Linked DNA regions of Schizosaccharomyces pombe. The protein of the gene in region 1 binds, or shares a complex with, the protein of each later gene. Each region holds a gene or a part of one and is shown on either strand. Other genes may lie near its edges.

Evidence for each region.
Region 2: mrpl32 (region 1) and mrpl51 share a complex: the UniProt entries of both Schizosaccharomyces pombe proteins name them as parts of the mitochondrial large ribosomal subunit.
Region 3: mrpl32 (region 1) and mhr1 share a complex: the UniProt entries of both Schizosaccharomyces pombe proteins name them as parts of the mitochondrial large ribosomal subunit.

Annotation. Positions count from the first base shown.
Region 1 is NC_003423.3:3,906,320-3,909,390, forward strand, and holds mrpl32 (mitochondrial 54S ribosomal protein bL32m), read left to right. Parts: upstream 1-1,532; 5' UTR 1,533-1,818; coding exon 1,819-2,130; 3' UTR 2,131-2,412; downstream 2,413-3,071. Other genes in the region: PAK-like kinase Shk1, read left to right, coding at 1-739; SPOM_SPBC1604.12 (uncharacterized protein), read right to left, coding at 2,574-3,071. UniProt on the Schizosaccharomyces pombe protein: Component of the mitochondrial ribosome (mitoribosome), a dedicated translation machinery responsible for the synthesis of mitochondrial genome-encoded proteins, including at least some of the essential transmembrane subunits of the mitochondrial respiratory chain.
Region 2 is NC_003423.3:1,697,909-1,701,600, forward strand, and holds mrpl51 (mitochondrial 54S ribosomal protein mL43), read left to right. Parts: upstream 1-2,024; 5' UTR 2,025-2,173; coding exon 2,174-2,239; exon of another isoform or gene 2,240-2,330; coding exon 2,331-2,493; exon of another isoform or gene 2,494-2,589; coding exon 2,590-2,798; 3' UTR 2,799-2,964; downstream 2,965-3,692. Other genes in the region: protein Mdm34, read right to left, coding at 1-1,185; cytosolic thiouridylase subunit Ctu2, read right to left, coding at 2,965-3,692. UniProt on the Schizosaccharomyces pombe protein: Component of the mitochondrial ribosome (mitoribosome), a dedicated translation machinery responsible for the synthesis of mitochondrial genome-encoded proteins, including at least some of the essential transmembrane subunits of the mitochondrial respiratory chain.
Region 3 is NC_003423.3:1,799,552-1,803,310, forward strand, and holds mhr1 (mitochondrial 54S ribosomal protein mL67 ), read right to left. Parts: upstream 1,740-3,759; 5' UTR 1,708-1,739; coding exon 1,180-1,707; 3' UTR 662-1,179; downstream 1-661. Other genes in the region: vacuolar membrane cation-chloride cotransporter Vhc1, read left to right, coding at 1-661; SPOM_SPBC18H10.18C (uncharacterized protein), read right to left, coding at 2,805-3,142, 3,188-3,578. UniProt on the Schizosaccharomyces pombe protein: Component of the mitochondrial ribosome (mitoribosome), a dedicated translation machinery responsible for the synthesis of mitochondrial genome-encoded proteins, including at least some of the essential transmembrane subunits of the mitochondrial respiratory chain.

The DNA.
Region 1 (3,071 bases):
CATCAAGAAAATGAACATTAATCAACAGCCAAAAAAGGAATTTATTGTCAATGAAATACTCGTGATGAAGTCACATCATCACAAAAACATTGTCAATTTTATTGACACTTTCTTCTATAAATCAGAGTTGTGGATGGTAATGGAATACATGCGCGGTGGCAGTCTTACTGAAGTGGTTACCAATAACACTCTTTCAGAAGGTCAGATAGCTGCAATATGTAAGGAAACGTTGGAAGGCTTACAGCATCTCCATGAAAATGGCATTGTTCACCGTGACATAAAATCAGACAATATCCTTCTCTCACTTCAAGGAGATATTAAACTTACCGATTTTGGGTTTTGTGCTCAGATCGACAGTAACATGACGAAACGAACGACGATGGTTGGTACTCCATATTGGATGGCTCCAGAAGTCGTTACTAGAAAGGAATATGGTTTCAAAGTTGATGTCTGGAGTCTTGGTATTATGGCTATAGAGATGGTAGAGGGAGAGCCCCCGTATTTAAACGAAAATCCTTTACGTGCTCTATATTTAATTGCTACTATTGGTACTCCAAAGATTAGTCGGCCAGAATTGTTAAGTTCTGTTTTCCATGATTTTCTTTCTAAATCTTTAACTGTTAATCCTAAGCAACGCCCTAGCTCCGGTGAGCTTTTAAGGCATCCGTTTCTTAAGCAAGCCGTTCCAGTTTCATCCCTTATCCCTTTGATAAAATCCATACATCATTCTGGTAAATAGGCTAACTTGTCAAAAAAGTTTTTGAGTAAACATCTGCTGTTAGAAGTTTCGGAATATCCTCCAACGTTTGCTTAAAAACTGTTTCTTCTCACATTGTTTATTTATCGTTAATATGCTTTTGCAGTTCGTTAGAATATATGTACCTGAGTTTATTTTTTTGCCTCCTCCACTAAAATCCATATCCGCAGGTTGGGCAGATTCAAACAGAGTACATTTTAACTACTTTTTTGCTTTACTTTAATTCCTTTTTCTAGTGCATACTTTACTTATCTGTTCCTTTTTTTTTGTTTTTTTCTTACTGCCAAGAATGATCTCAGTGACACTTGGATAATTTTTATAATAAATGAGACAATGCTTCTTTCTAAAAGTCTCAACTTTTTAATATTCGCAATGCATTATAAAAAAACTAAAAGGAAGACTAACTTATCAAAGTATTCAAAATGTAAGTACATGATTCTGAGATTGATCTTGAATCAGTCAAAATAGGTTTGAATCTTTTAAAGCGATGTTTCAATTTCAATTATGTGGAATCTCAAAGTGAAACGCCTGCTGGAATATTTCACAAAATTTTTGATCTACTAAAATTAGTACAAATACGTAGAAAACTTCAAATAATTAAATGGACTATGATTGTAGCGTAGTTCATGAGCTTAAGAAAATTGTCAACATTAAACTGCGAGACTTAATAAAGAGAGAGCGCACTTAGCATTTAAATGTCAAGCCAAAGCAATAGTGAATTTGAGGAGTCTCGTTATACATGGGTTATTACTACTCAACAGCAGACTATAGATTTAGGCAGCAGCCTACTTCTTAAGCATTGTCTCGAAACCAAAGTAACTGGTCTTTAAGTTTCCTTTTGACGACTTCCAATTATTTCAAACTCTTTTCTCGGAGATCGTAAATCTATCTGTGATTGGGTCTACTGGTTTTAGAAAACGGCTATATGCATCGTTTTATAACTATATAATTAAGATCAAGTTCTGCAGTAACTAAGTTCGCCTTACCTTGAGAAAACTTTTAAAATATTGTTCAGCATTACTGTACCCAACAATATTCTACTGTTCGCGCTTGGGTCGAAAATGGCTCTTTTAAGAGGAAATTCTTTGGCAATTAGCCAAAAAATGTTATCAGTTTTTCAAGCTAGCGCCCTTCCTCATATTTCTTTGAGGATATTTATTTCCCCCCCTTCAATAGCTAATATATGGAATTCCATTTTGCTTGCTGTTCCAAAGAAAAAAACTTCTTATACTAAGAAACGAAGTCGCTTACTGTCCGGAAAAGCATTAAAAGACAAAACAGTTAATCGTTGTCCTATTTGCGGGTCTTTTAAATTGGCACATCATTTATGTTCTCACTGTTTTAGAAATATTCGTCGAGAATTTAACGAATGAAGGGCATTAAGCATTTCTTCACTGATTTAGTGATGCTGCAAATCTTTATTTTAAGAAAAAAAATGGACTTAACATTAAATATAAGGTTGTTTCATGTAATAGTATTGCAGTTAGTGAATTGAATCTGCTCGCACTACTTAAATTTTTTCAGTATTACGATTAATGAACTACACCCTTTTTAAAAATACGCGTATAACAAAGAATTTTTTTACTTAATTTTATTTGTTGACTATGTACGGTTGAGTATAAATATCATATATTATGCAAAAGAATTTAGAGTGAAAAAATAACAAAAAAGCTGAATATATCTCTTAGCTTTCATCCTTTTTCAATACACGTTTATGTTGTAAGCGTGTAAATAATATTAAATGCATCGAAAACACAAAAGAGACTATAATCTCATGTAAAGTATACATAAACGATAACAATAAGAAAAAACCAAGCTAGTTTTTCGCCCTCCATAAACCGGAATCAATTCGTTCTCGGCGTTGAGGATCATAACGATTAGCGTTCATTGAATTACGAAAAGAGCGACGAGCCACTTGAATTGTCTTGCTACCTGGAAGACAAACAGTTACACGCAGTGGATGAGTAGGATGAATTCGAAGGGGTTGTTTGGAAGATGAGCGGTATATAGGAACCTTCTCCTCTAATGGTTTCATTTCCTCTAATTTTAATGATTTAGTAGGAAGAAACCGCTCCGGGTTCACTTTAGGCAAATGTAAATTCAAAATAACATCGCCCTTCGATCGCTGAATTCGAACAGAATTTGCATGACTAAGTATCAATCTCGATGATTTTAAAGAGCTCGTTTCCGAGGATACTACATAACTACTACTTCTGGTATCACGACCTTTGGAGTGGCTGTAAGAAGAGGATGAAGAAACAGGTTGACCGAGAGCATTAGAATTGCCAATGCGTGAAACTCCTCCATGTTCGTT
Region 2 (3,692 bases), 2.2 Mb from region 1:
AATCTTTGTAGGAGTATCAGGTATGGAATCAAACGCAGATTCAGTAAGGTCAACGTTTTTAGAACCAACAAAAGTTTCGGAAGAGGAAGCAGACTTGTTTGATGCTTCATGAATTTTAATTACATGTCTTTTCTTGACACGTTCTCGGCGGCGGAATTGTGAGGTACCATGACTACGACCAAAAATGGATGGCCTAGCCGTGGTGTCATTTGAACCAAGATAGTCTGATGCGGAATATTGGGTTGCAGGGGAAGATACAGCAGAAATATCATCAGATTGAGTAGTCAATTGCTGTATAATCGTATCGGGAGGAGTTGACCGGTATATGGACATAGGTATTGAAGGAGAAGAAATAGGAAGTAGTGCTTTTCTGGATAAGGCTAAAGAAGCAATAGATCGAATGTTAGGATGCGTTTGGACATCCAATGGGCCCATTTTAATTGGGAGATGAGTGTCGACTTTCGTAGATTCATGATAGTCGGGAGGACCATCTAGCAAATCTGGGTTATAATTAGCCAGAGAAGTATGAGATTGGTTAGGAGAAGTGAAAGGAATTTTTTGAAAAGATAGATTAGAGTCGGACTTGGCAAACCAAATTCTTGACATTTTGTATATGATGGAAGGAAGTTCTTCCTGAAACAGGGAGACCAGTTGCACCTCGATTTCTCTTTGTAAAAAGCGAGCAATAGCAGGAATAGAATCAAAGGAGGAAGATACACGCACGGATTCTAAAGGATCGTTTCGAAATACCACAGTGATACCTTTCTGCTTTGAAAACACCAAAACAACTATTCCGTTAAGCTTTAAGTCGGAAAGTCGTAAAAACATAGGCACAGTAAGCGGTGCACGAGATGCTAACATTGTATTACGAGAACTAAAACTGGGAACATTACTTTTTTGCACCGATAATGGATTGGCACGAATTTTTGTTTGCAAGACCAAAGAAGCATCACCCGAATAATGGAGATTAAAGAGGCCCTGAAAGCGGTCTGGCGCTAAGTCGCCAACCTCTAAAATTTCCAGTTGAGGAGGTTGGGGACCCAAATCCAACTCTTTTACAGTGATGTGGTCTGCAATCATCGAGTGTTTAGTGCCTTTGTTTAAAGCAGCCGTAAGCAAAGTGGTTGCTCGCTCATAGAATGACTCAGAGAACTGATCACTCCATCCCTTTACACGAAACGACATTCTGTTGATTTTCCTAAGTTATCTACATCAACTATGAAAAATGTCAAATTTTTTTGTAAGGAACCGTCTAGTATAGACTAAGTAACTAACGCTTTAGATCAATTTCTTTACAAAATTTTTATTAAATTCGGATAGGGAAACGACAACTTCCATACAGTGGCGGACAGTAAATAAACATCGATAGGCTGGCTGATGCACTAGTGCGGCATACTGAACCTTGATATAGCCAAGATAAGGATAGGGTCGATCGTACTGTATATGAACGAAGGTGTATTAGAATGCATTAAATAAATTATTACAAAATGCACAGTAGTTTCTTATGCTATACTGGTGAAATATATTTTCTTGCTATTCTGTTCATTTAGGAGGGATAAATAAAGCTTCATGAAATGAAATTCCTTAGATATTCAAATCAGAAATTCAGCCATTATTTTAGAAATGATATTAGTGGTGTTGCTTACTGTATTAATTTGCTATGTTGACAAATATCTAGGCTGAAGAACTTCGAGTACAAGAACCGATACAACTTTGCTCTTTCAGAAAAGGATATCTCTGCATAAATGAATGATATTAAATCAAAATTGTTCGTTTTAAAAAACCTATATTATGTTTGTTCGCAGTCCATGTACTACGTTAAAAAATCACTGTAAACTTTCTAGATATCATTATTTAGAGAAGAGCAGAAAGGTAAAGTATTGCAAAGTGTGTAACCAGAAACTGTAGGTAGACAGTAAACTTGATTTTGTTGCTAAAATTTTTTATAAAACTAATTGCATACTAAGTTTAACATTCTAAATCAATTGGAACAAGTATTGAAGTTTAGAGCAATTTGGGATTTGCGAATTTCCACACACCCCTTTACGTCTCCATACCGACTTTTCATTATTTCTGCAAGGATTTGCTCACCCAACTTTTTTCAATATAGCATATTAAGAATTCTGGTTTTTAAAAGACGGTATCCCCTTTTTTACGGCCTTTTACTCACTTAATGATGATTGAAATCATTCCTAAAATTTCAATTCCCAAAAATGGACTAGGTTCATTTACCCGCCCAGTAAGATTTAATCAGCTTTCTTTTTTTTTAAAAAAAAAAAAAAAAAAAAGATTGGCCTTCATTAACTTCGTATTACTAATTTTCTTTTTAGTGCCGTCGAATTGAGTTTTCGTATTGTAATTGGGGTGGAAGCTCAAAAGGCATGAAAGAATTTTTATCCACAAAGCTTGAGTCTTTGGCCAAAGAATCTCAAGATGTGGAATTTCATGTTACAAACCGCCAAGGCAAGCATCCATTAATCCGAGCTTATTACAGTACGTCCAAGACTTTTCTCTTATTATGGTGATCCTCTTAGTTTTATAAATATGAACTCCTTAAAATAGTGTTTTTTACTAATGCTACGATAATAGATACTGGTCGAGAGAAGGTCATTTGTACAAGGAAAATGTCAGCGTCTTCAATATTTCAAAAAGCAATTCTATGCAGAGATAGTGATGGTTTGAAACCTCGCCTCATAAAATATCCTGTTGAGTCAACAAACCCATCCGTTCGTGGTATTTGGAGTCCATTTTCCGATCAAGCAAAGCCCCATGAAATTTATAAGAAAAAGTCCCCTTAGATTCCTCTACAAACTACTTATTATTTCATACAAAAAAAAGAAAATTCAATTTAATCATTTTCGTTATGTTATTATGTCTAACCTTTTTGTCCGAAATACAAAACCCTATCCAAATTTATCTTCCCATAAATACTCTAGTTAACCAGGTAGTAAGTGTACAGATGTATCAAATCCCTTCTTTTTCAATATCAGGAATATGCAACGTCCCTTTTAAGCTTTTTAAAGAAACAGAACAGCCATAGCAAACATTTTGATTCTTAATACCTTCAACGGAATCCGGATGTTCAACCGTAGTTTTTTGTAACCAAGTCTCAGCATCTTCTTGCATTGGTAGATTACAGATGGTACATATGGCTTCTGTAGAAGGCACATGCAATTTTGAGCTCATTTTGACAACGGTGCTAACCAGACTTGGGAATGTATCATTCAGCGATGAGAAATATGATTCTGTAACGCCATGAATAGTATTAGGACGTGCTTCAATTAAGCTATCGCAGAAAGCTAATCCCTTAATGTTCATATACGACTTGAGGTCTGAAGACAAAACTTCACGTAGGGGACGTAGTAGGAAAGTATCGCAATTTGGAAGCTTAGAGCAGACAGAAGTGTACCATGGTATCGCAAAACCTCGACCCTCTGCCACAAGTTCAAGAACTCTTGCAGCAATTGTAGTACCGCTATCACCAAAAACAATGGTATCACAATTTGCCTTCCGGGCATAGGATACTAAAAGCTTATCCCGAATTCGGTAAAGTAAATCTTGACGCGAGGCTAACGAACTAATGACTTCTGGATTAAATTTCTCATTATCTGCGTTTATTTCTATATTTCCTCGTGAGTCTGTAGCAATGGTACGGTTCAATAACTCAGCTTCACCAATAACTTTGAATGGAC
Region 3 (3,759 bases), 2.1 Mb from region 1:
CATTGTCAAAAATGAGCATGTGAGACCTAGCAAGTCTTCCGAGCTTGAAAACTTACTGAAAGATGACTCGTGGTGGCAGGAAGAAAAGAAAAGAAGAGGAAATACTGTAGATTCCTTAGGACCTATTCGTTTTCCACGTCGTATGTCTGGTTATAACTTTAGATCTGCCAGCTTTGATAAGAGTGCTCCACCTTTAAGTGTGCCATTGAGTTTCCGCCTTGGGCCACATATGCATTCAGTAAAGTCGTTTGAGACTGAATCTTCTTTCGGAAACCGTTCTTTATCACCAAAACAAGAAAATAGAAGAACTTATTCTGACAGTACTATTGAGTCATCTCTGATGCCCAACGTGGTCCGAGAAGATAGTTCATCTGATAGACTAGCACCAAAGAAAAAAATAGGAAGGGACTATTCTAAAGAGAAGTTGACGTTTAACGATTTATCCTCGAGATCTCAATACATAATTATGAATGAAATCGTGCTGAAACATACTAAAAATACTTCTGTATTGTTTACTGTTTTACCAGCACCTTTGGCCGACACTCATAAGAGCTTTCGAAAAAGCGAGGAATATGTTGATGACTTATTAATATTTATGGAAGGATTACCTCCTTGTGCATTAATCCACTCTAAGAGTTTAACTATAACTACCGCTCTTTAACGATTTATGGTATTTATGTCTTTGGTTTATAAAGTCTTTTCTTTTGGCATTGTTATAACTATTTAAATATTTGGTCCATGATTTCTATTTTAGATGCTAATATTTTTTTTTTATTCTGGACCAAACTTTAAACAAAAAAAAAACGAGGCAATAAAGTGATGAGTTAATCTTGCATATATTTCATAGGAGCTCGAAAACTTCAAAATGGTAAAATAATAAAGATACGAGTATTTGGTGTCGATTTGTATTAAATTTATCTTGTCTTGAGTATCTAGCCAATACTCTCGCATTGAAGTACAATGATAAGCTAAGGAAGCTGTCCAGTGCAATACACTGGATACACTGGGAAGAATTCGTAACCGTCTTTAGTAAAAAGGACTTTATCATTAAGTAAAAAAGATTGAGCTAATATGAATATGTGTTAGCTTATACTTCATATAATGCCCTTTAAGAAAGCCTAAAAATGGATGAGGGGTGTTTTTGAAGGAAGAAAGTGAGAGAAGTAATGATATTATGCTTCATCTAGCTTCGTCTACGGTTGTTTTTTCACGGAAACCTCGCGAGAGTTTAATTTCCTCTGAATCAATCTGCACACTAGGGGGCCAATCTGCATATTCACTATCGGATTTATCACTCAGTTGCAAACGAACGGAATTTTCGGGAAATTTTTCTTTATTTAAAATATCTGCCAAGTCCGCAATCGTGTTAGGAACCTCTTGTCGCATTATTTTTCTTCTACGAACGGGTATAGGCAATTTCAAAAGGTCACTAGTCAGTGGTTGAACAGAACGATATTTTCGATAGTTTAACAGTTGCATAAAAACAGATTGAAACATTGATTCATTAGGAAATTCGACTTTTAGTAAAGGAACCCAATGGTCTTTACGGAGCTTAGCGGGTCGCATACCATTTGGAGCGACTGGCTTTTGAAGTGGGTAGGGAAGTTGAAACAACGCAGTCTTTTTTAAAACATTTCCTTGAGATAAAAGTACCTGATTCGTTTGAATATGCCTAAATATATAGAGATACTTGTTCTTTTCAAGCATTCTTTCCTTTTACGAGTACAGATTGGCTGTTTACATATATGCTTGTAAGAGATGCGAAGTTTGTTAATAGCGCGTCCGCGTATAAACGTTGTGCCCAATAAACACATATCGTTTGCTAGCACAGATGTTAGGCAGCATTGCGCGTTGAGCAGCCAAAAACAGTAAATGTTTTAATGATACGGTGAGTGACGGAAAATTTGAATACTGGTCAGCTACGCAGTTTAATATCTATTTAAAGTGTCGCTCACGTATTTCGGTATCTGCTTAACGATACTTAAAGTGCAATGAATCTCTCTGTGACCTAATATATTATGTTACACAGTTAATATAAGCAGCAATTTCAATGGGTGTTCTCTGAAATAAATTATATTGTTACCTATGGACATAGCAAAAAATATTACTTTTCGCTTGGGCTGAATGTTGGTAGATTTTGAATACGAAAGATTTCATATAATACAAATTGAATAATTTTTTAATTCTTTTTGTAAAGAAATTGCTACTGACCAGGAATTGGGAAATCGCATTATTTAAAATAGGTTTTCGCTCTACACCAAATTGATTTTTCATTTTTATTTGTTTTAGAAACAAGTTTGAACTTATATTTCCTGTATATACTGTATTTTAAAGCTCCGAACACTTGAAAATGATATATGGAATCCTCATTTTATGCATTAAACAGAAACTAAGGTTAAATCACTACTTTGCGTCTTTTGAGTAATGCCTTACTTGTTCAATTTTTTAATTCGCAAATCTTACAAAGTCATAATTAAGGATTGTATATCAATTTGGTAAAACAATAAAGAGGATGATTAATTTATAATTGACAACCAGATTCATTAGTTAAATGACTTTTCCTAGCACCACAGAAACACATCGTGTTTACTCTATAACAGAGACAAAAATGTATGTATGGAAAAAGAGTGATGACTGTCATCGGAAATGATTAAGTGACAATGCGTATAAGGTAATAATACAAGAAATAGAAATAAAGGGGAAAAAAGGAGCTTCTGCAGGAAAGTAAGAAAATTAGTAATGAAATAAAAAAGACACTCGCAGCTGGTTGGCAGCCCCTTGATTTTTTTTTCTAGCCATGACTTTTAGCTGCTGCCCGATTCTACATCTTTAGAAGTGTTGCAATCGGTTCCCTCAGCCATTGTGTTGTCACTTGCTGGCTCTGTGGTAATTGCTTGGCCTCGCATAGACGACATTTCAACGTCGCCAGTCTCTTCATCTTGTTCTATTACTTCGAGCCCGAGAATAAACAACAGTAAGGATAAAATAATATGAGCCAAACCTTGAATTGCTTTAGCTACATATTTAACTAGGCCTGCAATCGTTTTAGCTACATGTTTAGCTAGACCTTCATTCGCTTTAGCTACAGATGGTGCATAAACATAAGCTTCTTCAAACGCTAATTTAATTAACGAAAATGAAACTAGAAAATCGTTAGCCATGAATTCAAATCATCTCAAAAACTTACAATAAACAATAATCACTGTCATCACGTATGTAAATATTAACACTATAGTTTCAATAACATATTTAACCACAGAATTAAGATCCGCCAATGCCTGATCGAAATAATTATAAAAATTATGATAAAGCAATAAAGTAAGAATGAAAGGAAGGAAGATATGAAATATCGCATATCTAGCTTGTGTAAGTCGCACATTTTCCGAACGCTTTCTTAATCTAGCAGGTGCAGCCATTGTATTTTTTTTTCGTAACGATGGTTGTGTTAATGTTGAGTTTTGTTTGACAATTGGATTGTTTACATGATTATTGACTGAATATGAAGGACAAGAATGTAAACAACCCTTCTCCAAATCATTCCAAACTTCATTGTATTGAGGTAACTTTTCGTCTGGCATTTTGAAGAGCCTTTTACCAATAGTGATTATATACGTTTGAGTTCCAACTTGAACATTGCAAAATAAAATGCGAAATTAAAATATAAAATAGATAAATAGATCAAAACCAAACACTTGAATAGCCTAAAAATCCACGCGTTCTAAGCATCCAACAAAAAGAGATGGCTCTTGTTAAGGAATG